Caenorhabditis elegans: one gene and its partners. The protein of the gene in region 3 interacts with the protein of the main gene of each other region in a pairwise test. Each region holds a gene or a part of one and is shown on either strand. Other genes may lie near its edges.

Region 1 (4,783 bases), on a different chromosome or scaffold from region 3:
GAAGTCAAGTTTTTAAAAATAAAATAAATAAAAATCAATGTATTTTTTTGCCAATAAACTTTTTCTAATTTTATATTGTTCTAAAATTTATCATTTTAACTGGCAATTCTCATAAAATTCATAGATAGAGAAAATTAAAAAAATGTAGTTGAAGACTTCTCGAATCCAAAAATATTTGTTTTTTTTTTCAGTACCCGGCGGACCCAATTAATAAAACCGTCACCATTCATAAATCTCCAATCTTGTCACAAAAAGTCGAACGAGATCTTCTACCAATGGCTACAACTATCGAACAAAAAGTTGCAGAATCTAAACAAATTGATTTGGCTTCAATATTACAAGATGGTTCGTTATTTATCTTTTTTCACCTATTTGAATAATATTTATTTAGGTTTGAAATCAATGGAATCAAAAGAGAGAACAAGTTCGGACAATGGATGAATATAAAAATAGTCTAATACGATCTCAATAATTATTATTTTACCACCTCTTTCTTCTTTGTTACTGGTAATTCTCTTTCTCTCATTCTTTTTCTTTTAAAATACAATAAGATTTACATAAAGAAAATATTTTTATTATCATTGAAAACATTATTTGCTTGAATGATACATAATAGTCACAAAATTATAAAAAAAAACAAAAACCCGCGAGATTTGACAAAACGTTTTTAATATTATTGCACGTCAGTATTGAAAAAAGAAAATAAAAAATTGATTTCTCGATTGAAACCATAATCTTGATGAGCAAAAATATTAGACGAATTCAATTTTGGAGCTGATGCTTGGAGTTTCACCATCTGGTGTTGAAATTAATTGGGTTTTTGGAAGTTGAAGATCGTCCAGAAGAGACATTTTCTTGTCATTTTCAGAAAAACAGCAACACCACCAGTCACCTGAAATTGAATAAATGAAAAGATTTTCAAGCTGATTTTCGGACAGTCACAGTAGAAAATCGGACTATTAAAGATCATGTCGAGAACAGAAATATATTGCTATCAATATACATAGATAGAGATAGTTTATTGTTTTAAAATAAAAATAGGCACATTATCATTATTTTCAAAGTGCCAATATAGTTTCAAATGATTTGGCTCACCTAGACACTGTCCCATTTCCTTTCTCAGTAGCGGTTGGAAATATGCATAAATTGGTAAACGAGCAGACGAAGCCACAATTGTCAAAAGGGAGATAACATCAACAGAAAGAACGTAGAATGCTATCCAATCTCTGAAATTAGAAATTTAATGGCTTCAAACGTAAATAAGTTGTGTTTCTTACTCGCTAAAAATGGACTCTTTATCTATATATTCCCAGATAGTAATGATGACTGACAACAGGTTGGACATCAGATATGTGCAAACGATGATAACGACAGATTTTGTAGTTGCACGAATTCGGGCTTTCTTCTCCTTCACATTCTGCTTATCATGATCAGCACATTTACTTTTCAAGACATGTTCGCGGAGTTGGAAAAGAAGAAGGCAGTTTACAAGAAGAAGTATGAAGAATGGTGCAAGGATTGTGAAAATGTTACGGAAGTAAAAACGCCAATATTCATTGATCTTTGGGAAATCAAATAGGAGTTGTGAGGGAACAACCGTCCAATAGTTCAGTTCTCCATAACATTCTGGATTGTAAGAAATCTGAAAATAGGTGAAATATTTTAACGCCGTCATTTCTAGTATAACTTACATCGACTTCCTTTACAATTGTTCCCTTGCTCACAACTCCACACATTATTGCAGTAAATGCAAGAAGAGGCCGAAATCTTTGAAGGTACGGTACAAAGAAATGATTGACTGTAATACAATATCGCTCAATTGATGCAAAGCAAATGAGAAAAGTTGAAGAAGTGATTCCGATGTGAGAAACAGTTAGCATTGGAATCATATAATGGACCCAAATAGATTTTAGAAATACGCTGGACGTGAAGTTCACAAGAATCCGAACTGACATCACGGCTATATAAGCAAATGCGATAAAGACGTCAAAAAGGGAAAGTAGCAAAAGGTACAGGTTTGGTGAACGTCTGAAAATTTAGAAATTAAACAAAACATTTTCCAAATTTAAACTAACCGGTGTTGCTTATTTGTGACAAAAACAAAGAATATAAATGTATTGAACACAATTGATATAATGGACACAGTCACTCCAGCAACGACACATAACCAGAATCGTTCCGTGATCAGATAGTCATCCGCCGCCGAGCACGGATTTGTGTAATCAGGTTGCATGATCTGGAAAAATATATTTTAAAAACATTTTTATTGTACGAAGGTTGTTCGAAGGTATGGTCCGTGGGGAGTTTTTATTGAAATAGTCCCTATAGCGCTAACGTGTTCAAAATTTGAAGAAAATTGTCGAAACGTTTCGAATTTTAAAAAATTGCAATCAATTCTGAACACTTTTTTTTGTGAAAACTTTTTTACAGTTTTTTTGTTTAAACGTTTAAAAAAACGCGAGAAACTTTATTTTGATAAATTTTATAAAAATTCAACAGAACGAACGATCGAGAAATTCTCTGGAATTTGTATTCACACTGTGAATGAAAAGCCGTGTGTTAAGTCATTTTTTGCATTCAAATAATTTCTTTTGAAATTTTTTCAATAATCCAGACCAACTCAAGCTTGTTTATACGTTTTTTTGGTTTTAGAACTACGAAAAAGTGATTCGGTGAAAGGAGCCATTTCAGCAAATTTCAAAGTAAGTCTCACATAATTGTGAGCTAGAGTAATTCCACAGATCTCAAAGTAGAGCCAAAAAAATGATGAAGGTGTCAACTAGGAACTTGATCATACTCCAGTTCATTAATCGTATTCAACAATATACATAATTGCGTTTATTTTCTAATTTCCTATTGTGTGTCTTCTTTCTTACCGTGCTGTCATAACTGGAAATATTTTCTGCTTGCGATTCTAACGCTGTCTGATTGCCGATGTCCATTACGAAGAACTCATACACAATGAATTCGATTACCTGAATTACTAAAAAAAATTACTGCGTTGAAAAACAAAATTTTCAGAGAGAATTAGGATACTGGAAATAGGAATCAAACGATTCACATGAGGTATGCTTTCAAAATGATGAAGGTTTTATACTGACTTTTTGAAGTGGCTTCCGTCAATCACAAAAACGAAATGTTGCCAAATCGAGCCAAAATCTCAAAGAGTGACTGGCACACCATTAGTGAAACATTGAAAAAAGTGGGAAAAGTTGGAAGAAAAGTTTGAGATTTTGAAGATAGCAATGGGAGATTGATTGAGAAATTGAAAAAGTTAAGAAGATGGTCACATTGGGATACTAGATATATGTTAGATTCTAAATTCCAATTCACATACTGATTTTCAAAAGGAATTTAAGAATGAGCTGAATAGATAACAAGAAAACCGCAGAAGAAGAATAAAAAATGACATCGATCAAACATCAGACATGCAACCAATTGAGTAAAAACAATCAAGAATTGAATACTGAATCGTCTTAGACGTTGTGGTGTTCTGTGAGTAATTTTTAAGAAGCTTAATGTTTAGGTCTTATAGACTAAATAATTAGGCTTGATACGTATTGTTGTTTAAAACTAATACCTTGGAGACTCGTGGTATCGGAGAATTAATTTATTGCTTATTAATTACTCCGTTTTTGCTTTTCAATCTGAAATACTTTCTGAACTCTGCGGAACTGATCCATTGCTGGTCAATCTATTGAAAGTTATGAAAATAGTCTTTAAACAAATATAAAAATAAAAGAAAACCTGGGTAAGAAATAATTTAATTAAGAATTCCAATTCTCATTGCCATTGGCTTTTGGAATCAGATTGAAGAAGAGCACACCCATCAAATGAAATCTGTGGGCAGACCGCAACCATCTTCTTTCTTTTTCTCATTGATGAGAAGAAATCATTCTAAATTGAAAAATGGATAGATAGGTCAAAAAGGCTCATCAATTATCGAAAAGTCGCACCTTTTGCTCAATCAACACCTCTATAGATGCCGCCTGACATCTTGATTTTCTTTTGATATTAAACTTTGACTGATCAAGAATTGTTCTCAAGGTCAAGGAGATTGATATCAGCTTTGAGATATCTCAGTCACTCAGTATCTCAGTCAGTTGGTTCAATATTCCATTGATTGTTATTTTTATCAAAGAAATCACGTTTGGTTCTTTTTTGTTAATTGTTGTAAAAATTTTTAATACAATTTGAGCATCGAAAAAAATTATTATTACATTACACATGTAATTTTCGTTGGTTTCGTTTTATGCGTTGCACATTTAATATAAAATTCGAGAACACAACCGTAGGGAGGGCAATTTTCGATTTACACGTTAGTTTTCGGGTCATTTGATCTAGAAGAAATATATTTTCAATAGATGCTGCATCTTCTCGACTTCTACGGTACCTCTTCGTATTTTGGAGCCCAAGAGAAAACGAACAACAGGATCACAATGAGGTCCTACTCGTCTGGCGCTCGTGGCGTTCGGTTTACCAGAAAACAAGTAAAATATTCACAGAAATTGGCTGACTAACACATAGAAATGAACATGAACACAAAAAGGTTTAGATGAGCAAATGATTTTTGATGTTTTCATAAGGGTTACTGTATTGTGAGGGCATTATGAGCTAAAGGATCAAGTGAAAAAGAAAATGGATAGGTGGAGCTTCGTTTCGTTTAATCTATTATGATTTATGCAAGTCAGAAGTAAAAAAGAAAAATAGGAGCAAAATATAAGCTCCGCCTAACTTCAAAGCCTTTTTTCTTGGGTGAACTTCAAAATAAAGAAAATTAAAG
Region 2 (4,206 bases), on a different chromosome or scaffold from region 3:
TTGTATTATTGTGTTTGTATGAATCTTCCAAAAATCCATACAAAAAATTTAATCCGTTGAAATCTTGTGGGCTGGAAAAATCAAACTACATTAAAAGTCTGATAATCAAATACATTCAGATCATCCCCGCCTTCGTACTTTTATTACACATGCTGGTTACAATGGTCTTATGGAAGCAGCTCTTGCCGGTGTTCCATTAATTACGATTCCATTTATGTTTGATCAGAATCTAAACAGTCGAGCAATCGAGAAAAAAGGATGGGGAATTAGAAGAGACAAAAAACAATTCCTCACGGAGCCAAACGCCATTGAGGAAGCTATAAGAGAAATGCTCACAAATCCAAGTTATACGAAACAAGCACATCGAGTACGTGACTTGATGAGAAACAAACCCATGGGAGCAAGAGACCGATTTATAAAAACAACTGAGTGGGTTATTCAGAATGGAGGAGTTCATGAATTGCTGACTGAAGGAAGAGATCTCAGTATCATCAAGTATTACAATTTAGATATCATTGTTCCATGTTTCTTTGTTGCTTTTTATTTCATAATTTTCCCATTTTTCAAACTCTTTGGAGGATTTTATTATTACAGTTGTTTTGGTCATATTGAATCAAAATACAAAAAAGATTAATGATTTAAATAAATATTTTATCACGTTTTTCTTGATACCGCCCGAACTGCAGAATACCCATTTCCTTTAGACATTATGTCATTGTCTGATAATTTTGATAAGCTGAACCTGCATTGGCGAACTGCGAGAAGATATTTGAAGAACATTCTGAAATTATTAAAGTTAGAAAAAATGTGCTCAAGTTGTCAAGTTTATTAAGAATATTCTCCAATTTTCAAAGAAAATACAAGCAAGTTACAGTAGTATAATATTTATTTAAAAATTGGAACTCATTGTTTTTAAATACAAAATCTTACCGCCTGAAAGGTATTACAAATACAATTGATAGAATTGGATCTATCAAAGTTGGGAGAATTACCAGAAATGAATTGAAGTACTCGAGTATTAACACACCAGCTTCTGAACATGAAAATCGCATTTTAAAAATAATTGTTGACTCGTTTACCCGAATATTGTGTGAGAAAGAATTGTACGACCAATGGTACAAAACAAATACTTGGAATTAAAGTTTGAATTGTCAATCCCGTGATCATACTCTTCGCATGTTTGATTCGTGGAGATTTGTATTCTTCGTATTCATTTAAAAGTCCCCATATCTTGCTGAAAGGATATTTCATAAACCTTTTTAGAATAATAAACTCACTTGCGATAGATAATTGCAGCTAGTGGGTTTAATACTAAAACAATTGTGAAAATAATAGTAGATGCTTTGACTGCAGGAGACGTCAACGCTGAAAACCCAAAAATTGAGTTTTGCTCAAAAATATACGACGGATGCAGAGCACGAGTTTCCAAAACAATTGCATTGTGCTGAGATGGATTTATAAATTGACAGATTGCACAGAATATAGCAGGTAGATGCACAATTATGAAGTTTCTCATTATTTGGACTGATGAAAGTTTTTGATGGGATAAGATTTTATACCGATAGTAGAATACATGAACAATTGCAAAAAGTGCAACCATTGAAGATGCCTGAAAATATTAAGAAATGATCTCTGTTAGGATGTGGCTGTAGACAAGAAATATGATTGAATGTCAAACTGAAATTTGAGCCTATTTCAAGAATAGTGTAGTTCATATTTTATGAGAATTTTTCCAGAAATTAAAAAATATTTTTCCATAAAAATAAACGTTAATAAAAAATACAATTAACTGATTTTAATTGGGCAAATAGTTAAAATTTTTAATATTTATATTTGGTCATTTTGGCTTTCGTTGTTGTATCTCAATTTCTTTGGAACAGAAATATTTCGCAAATGCTCTTACATGTTTTCTGAGTTTTCACTTAAAAATTCAATAAAATTCAACTCACATCTCTTAATAAATGCAGTAGAAAACACGAACGTCTTCCAACTCTGATGCATACACCTGTACATACAAATGCCACTGTTGTTTGATTTGGAATCATTCGACATTGCGTTAGAAATCCCGAAATTATAGTTACAACTTGGGCGGCACATATATTTAAAAGATAAATTCGCATTGTTCGTAAAAGTTTTGTTTGATTTTTGAATATGAGCAGAAGTAACAAAGCTTGTGAGAAGAGAACACTGATTGCAAAAATTGGATAGGCAACATTGATGAAGGCAAGTATGTCTACTTCTTTCATACTCTGTTTAATCTGAAATTAGAAATATTTTAGAGATGAAAATATAGAACAAGTAATGAGTATGTAATGACGAATATCTCGGATTACTAAATAGGTGGGAAATGTGGCGGGCATCGAAGGACACGTGAGTGTGGGAAAAATGGAAAATAAGACGAAAATGTTGTTAAATAAGGGACAGATGATGAAAACTGGAGTCATAAAACTTATATTTTATTGAAACTAGAAAAATTAAAAGGTGTGGCCATCGAGCAAAATCAAGATAATTCAAAAACATTTGCACAAAGTTCCCGCCTTCGCTTCGAAAAGTGTCATAAGAATGAAGTGGAAGCAAGTAGAGCGGAATGCAAAAAGCGGAAGTGCAGAGAGATCGAAATATGCAGGATTATTATGCGAGTAAGCTGAATTTCAAGTGTTCTATGGACAATTGAATTAGTGATATGTAGACGACTTCTGGTAACTTGTAAAATTTGCTAGCAGAGCATCAAAAAAACGTTCGCGAATTTAAGTAAAACGGCGCATTAGGTTGTCATAAACTCTAAGCTTCACATTCATATAAACTCTAAATCTAGCTAAAGTTTAATCCAAGAAAAAGTTTGAGTCCTGAGATTTGTTATGGCGAAAACAGAGAATGGACACTTGTTTTAATTTAATATCTGTTAATTTAAGTCAAACCAACTTCGAAGTCTCAGTACATCTCACCGGTACTTTCTTTGATAGACGAAACTATATCTGAAGGAAACGCATACGGAATGAGAGGATCGATGACGGCTAAAAATGGCTCCAAAGTATATACGATATATATATATATATATATATCGAAAGAAGATTTGAGCTACAATGTCGTTACGTTACAAAATTATTTTCACGAATTTTCAAAATTTCCCAAAAGCAGCGAATCGCGTGTCGTGATTACAACAAAAATGGGATTCCTCAAAATATGCCCAATAGCTGCTGAAAAGTCGCAGATGGCTGTTGGGATCGCATAAAACGGCTGAACGGTCGATTTGCAGGCAAACAGCTGACGAAAATTCAGTTTTTTCTGAGAAAAAGAGTTTTAGTGGCTTCTAACGGTAAGTTGATTGTTTCTTGCGTGAAACTTGCGTTAAACATAAAACAAACAAAACGTAAGATTTTGAACAAAATTAATTTCGAGCTGGAGGTCAATCGGATTAAAGACCGTTTGCTTTTTTTCAGCAGGAATTGAGCAGCTTTTCAATGTTCCCACTTTACCTGTAATAAACCTTCTCAAAAAATTCTAAATTTGATGTAATTGTGTAAACTCATTGCCGGATTTTTTGTTGATTTAGGCAGATCTCCGTCTTTTGATAACCAAACTTGATAACTTTCGGATGCATATAAATCGAAAATGTGCGAAAATCTACAAAAAGTGAAAAGTTCGAAATTAGCAATCAGAATATCTAAATCAGGCAAACAAAAATTAATTTCCGGCTTTTTAGTTTCGCGCAACTCACGCCCGCCTTTGCGCACCTTCCAGTCTTGTACCCCCTAAAAAACTAAATTATTCAAAACCAATTCAATTTTTATCTGCACTAAAAATACATAAGAATTAAAGTTTTCGTTTGTGAAAAGTCTCAATAATACGGTTGATAGGAGATGTTTGAATTGACGATAAAGATTGACATTAGACAGAAATACATGTGGGCTTGACAGCATTCCCTTGAAAAAGTTCGAATAAAAAGCAATCTTTTGTGCTCTATTGTTGAAATTTCCCCCCGCCGAGTAGAAAGTTCTCAAATTTAAAATAGACGCGGAAGAGTATTTCACTATTTCTGAAGTATCTCGTTTTCTTTAAAACTGAACCATAGAAAATATCTTGTTTTTTGTTGCAGTCTTTATGTTCAGATTTTATTTTAGATTTTATATAAGACCATCACAAGATTTGGACAAAATAAAACTACAAACAATTGACATGATTTGTTCAGACTGACGAATGGCAGAG
Region 3 (4,016 bases):
GATGTTTTAGATGCTTCGGAAACTTTTTATTGTGTCAAAGTTTTAATTTAAAATAAAACTTTTTTCATATAAACTTACATAACGAATAGTAGACAGAAAAAGAAGACGCACGTTCGCATTGTACTGCGAAAATAAAAATGGTACGATTATAACAGTACCACCTCGAGTATCATCTATGTCCCGCCCATTATTTGAGTGTCCTCAAATTTGCATAGCATTGTTGTAAAACCATGTCACAAGTGGGATACTTTACAAAGTATATGTTAAAAATTGACAGCGAACACTAATGTTCTGAACAACATAGAATTAAATAAAAATCTAGCAAGTTCAATATCACGATAATCCAATATATCCCTGTTTGTAAAAACTAATGTTAGCTGAACTTTCATCTTATTGAAGACAGTGTACAAGTGGTGGATATCCATTGTCTTTTTTCATTTTCAACGGGAATTTTCATTGAGATTTCCACAAAATGATGGCTAATTGATAAGGGCAAAACGAGAAATCGTAGGAAGAAAAGTGATAAGAAGCGACGCCTTCGAGGCTTATTCTATCTTTTTCGTCTTCTCATTTTTGTGGAAAGAATCAACAATGAAGCTTCTTCTGTTAGCTGTTTGTGTCATCGGTTAGTTTTTCGATTGTTTCGTTGATTTATCCCTAAATTTAGCTCTAAATGGTAAAGGAAATATTTATCTAATTGGGTTAAAATATGTTCAAATTTGTTTTAAAAAATATTAAGAAAAATACATAACTAATTTATTTGACATATCCAAAACTTCTTAGTCATAACAATTTTACCCAATATGAATTCTGCTTGTACGTCAATAAATTGAAACGTTCTATAAATAACCAAATTTCGATTCTCATATTTTCTTCGTCTTGCACGAAATCGCAAAAAAAACCAGTCCAGAAAAATTGCTTCTATATAATTTTCAGTTGATCAATATATTTGACTTCAAAATTCAATTAATTTCAACATTTCAGGATTCGTTGCATGTTATGAAGTTGTACCGAGAGCAAGTGCTTTAAGACCGAGAGGAGATGTTCGAAGGTTTAACATTTATTCCATTTTTTCTTTAATCTATTCTTCAGATCACCCCTCCCATCATTATCGGCATATGCTCCTTTTGCTAAATCTCTTCGTCCAGCTTCTACAGGAATCCGACGTGCTCCAGCAGTTGTTACACTTCCAGCTCAAAAAGCTAATCGTTCAGTGAAAAGAGCTCCAGCTAAACCACTTCCAATGACACTTCCACTTCTTCCACCACTTCTTCCACTTCCACAATTCATTCCAGTACCTGTACCAGTCCTGTCTGCAGAAGGCCTTCCAACTCTTCCAACTCTTGCTCCACATACTTTCCCAACTTTCACTCCAATTCCTGGAATGCCAACAATGCCTGCATTGACAATGCCACCAAGTTTCCAACGTCTTCTTGGAATCACAACTACAACTATGAAACCAGCTGAAAAAGCTATGGAAACTGTTCAAACTGAAGAATCTGATAATGACACAACGTCCGAAGCTAGAGCTCATAGGTGAATTACTCAAATCAGGAGAAAATAATCTAATATTAATTAATTTCAGCGCCCCAACATACAGCAAAGATCTGAATACAATTCGTTCAAGACTTTCAAAGTTTGTAAGAGGAAGTGAAAAGAAAGTGACAAAAGCAGAAGACAACGCTGATTGGATTGTTCCATTCCATTGATCTCATCAAAATATAATAATTTTAATTAATAATAAATAATTTAATTAATTTAATAAATATACCCGCGTGACATCGTTTGAATTCGTTTTACACAGAAAAAAATCAGAAAATAAAAAGTGAAAAGAGAAACTGAATCAGTTTCAAATATTTCCTTGTCGACAGTTGCTTTCATCTTCGCATCAATCTATTCGGGGTAAGTTAATATTCAGACTGCAAAAAATCAAGCCACCTAGGGGACTCGAACCCCTGACCTTAAGATTAAAAGTCTCACGCTCTACCAACTGAGCTAAGGAGGCCAGCGAGTGCGCTGGGTCCAAAGGCATAGACGCTCGACTAGTTACAGGAGACGCGAGAGTGGGTTGCTGTGAGATAGACACGTACTATTTACAGATGGCAACCAACAACAATAGTTTTCATGTAAAAGGAAAAGAAGAAGTACAATTCGAACGGAAAAATGTGGTTGTAGCATGTGATGTGGTCAATGGAAAGGTAAATAAAGAATCCAACACAGGGCTCGCGTCGAGAGCCGAATAAAACTTCAAAAGCCCTGATGTGTAGAACAGTAGAACACTCTTTAATAAATAAGAAGTCCGGTTGCAATTTCCTTCGAGGCTGTAAAAAGACTCATTTTCAATTCAAAAATCGAAGAGATCTTGAATAATCACATTGCAGATTACATATGTGGATGTGAGTAGCCAACTGATGGGTGTTCTATTTGCTGGTGATGAGATTCTGAATGTCAATGGAGAAACTGTAAGGAATATTTTAAGATTTTCCGTTTCAACTAATCAAACATTTCCAGAACATCAAGACAACTGCTGACTTTATCCGTGCAATTAGTGCAAAACTTCCCGGAAAAGTGACAATTGAATTCATGCGAGACGATCATTGCCTTGTCACTGAAAAACCAATGCCACCACGTCGTCCAAATACTCAAATGGTTGAGTTGACTTTCACTTATCGTGGAGGTGCTGCAACAGGGATTATCATTCATAGAGTTAGTAATCAGGGACAATTTATACTTTCATGGATGATTTACAGATGGCAGTTGATCCAAAAACTGTGACTATTTCAATGGTTCAATCGGCTTCCAATGCGTGTCACTATGTCAAGGATGGAGATATTCTTGTTAAAGTTAATGACATTTATGTTCTTGATCGTGACTCTGCTAGAAAGGTATTGTAGTATTTTTCTTATTTTATTTTAGTAATTAACTTACTTTCAGCTTCTCTACGCGAGTGTCAACAACACAAAAACGGTCCGTCTTACATTGGAAAGATCCACAACTACTGATCCACTTGGTCCTGCTCCACCGCCTCCCGATGGTGCACAGAGCACACCTGCTGGAGTGAAGAAATCTGGAAATTCAGTGATGCTTCCTCCTCCAAAACCACCCCAAGGAAAAGCCAACAAGCAGTTTGATGTGGTCAGTTTGAACCCATTTCCTCTTATCATTTCATTTACCAAAACATGTTTTTATTTTCTTCTTTGCAGCTTCTTCCTCCTGATGTTTTGGAGATTATGAAGGCAAACAAAGATTTCTACAAGAAACCGTGCAAGAATCCTCCATGCATCATCAAAACAACCGCCGCATCAGCCCCTGCTCCAGTTCCAGCCACCTTGCCATCGGATCCTGCCCCAGAAGTTCGCATCCCGTACATTCCGTCTCCGAAGCCCCTGAAAATGACTCCAAAACGTGTGGGATCTTAACTTGAGAAAAGTGTTCGAAATAAAGTTTTCAAAAAGTGTTTGTTTGGTTGTTTACCGTTCTATCCATCCCTAACCTATGCCTAGAGACACAAATATTTACGGTCCTTCAACCTGTGATTTGAAAAAGGCAGGCCTAATTCTATTTATTGTTGAATGCCAGATTGGTTTCTCCTCGAAACCCTCATGAATCTAAAACCTACAGCTTTTACACATTATTTGAAACATTTCTAGTCTCACATCATCGTCCGTTTTTTCTTGCTCCTAGTTGTCTCACAGAGTTGCAAATGTTCATCTAGCAAACGTCTGCGTCTCTATGTCCTACTCACTATTTCCACTAGTTTTTCTTCCTGTCTCTCACTGTGCACGGACAGAGAGACGTACGAGACGGCCGGTGCTGCTTGGTACCGACTCTGTGCGTCTGGTTGTCCGTGTCCGTGTCCGCCCGCCGCTCTCACTCGCCAAAATATGACTGAGAATTGGAAAAAGGCAATGGATGAGAGTGTGTATCTGTCATTTCTGGATGCATACTGGCTCTCATTTTCACTTGATTCGGAGGGATATAGGCCATTTTAACCTAGTCATTCAATATACTCTCTC

What was found. The genes of interacting proteins can lie anywhere in the genome.
Region 1: the proteins of mpz-3 (region 3) and zzz-1 interact in a two-hybrid assay, tested with the Caenorhabditis elegans proteins (one large-scale study listed by BioGRID).
Region 2: the proteins of mpz-3 (region 3) and srd-49 interact in a two-hybrid assay, tested with the Caenorhabditis elegans proteins (one large-scale study listed by BioGRID).

Annotation. Positions count from the first base shown.
Region 1 is NC_003283.11:10,906,197-10,910,979, forward strand, and holds zzz-1 (G-protein coupled receptors family 1 profile domain-containing protein), read right to left. Parts: upstream 2,976-4,783; 5' UTR 2,943-2,975; coding exon 2,877-2,942; intron 2,237-2,876; coding exon 2,076-2,236; intron 2,029-2,075; coding exon 1,692-2,028; intron 1,643-1,691; coding exon 1,278-1,642; intron 1,227-1,277; coding exon 1,096-1,226; intron 893-1,095; coding exon 753-892; 3' UTR 564-752; downstream 1-563. Other genes in the region: F32D8.15 (Anti-sigma factor), read left to right, coding at 192-345, 392-441.
Region 2 is NC_003283.11:10,092,760-10,096,965, reverse strand, and holds srd-49 (G-protein coupled receptors family 1 profile domain-containing protein), read right to left. Parts: upstream 2,293-4,206; 5' UTR 2,247-2,292; coding exon 1,950-2,246; intron 1,610-1,949; coding exon 1,278-1,609; intron 1,235-1,277; coding exon 1,080-1,234; intron 1,034-1,079; coding exon 931-1,033; intron 782-930; coding exon 655-781; 3' UTR 635-654; downstream 1-634. Other genes in the region: Putative UDP-glucuronosyltransferase ugt-47, read left to right, coding at 120-634.
Region 3 is NC_003280.10:6,563,237-6,567,252, reverse strand, and holds mpz-3 (PDZ domain-containing protein), read left to right. Parts: upstream 1-1,856; 5' UTR 1,857-1,902; intron 1,903-1,932; exon of another isoform or gene 1,933-2,005; intron 2,006-2,099; coding exon 2,100-2,198; intron 2,199-2,381; coding exon 2,382-2,462; intron 2,463-2,511; coding exon 2,512-2,706; intron 2,707-2,750; coding exon 2,751-2,885; intron 2,886-2,934; coding exon 2,935-3,135; intron 3,136-3,203; coding exon 3,204-3,419; 3' UTR 3,420-3,459; downstream 3,460-4,016. Other genes in the region: dbd-6 (DB domain-containing protein), read right to left, coding at 79-119; F18C5.5 (Vegetative cell wall protein gp1-like), read left to right, coding at 592-625, 985-1,051, 1,093-1,536, 1,586-1,709.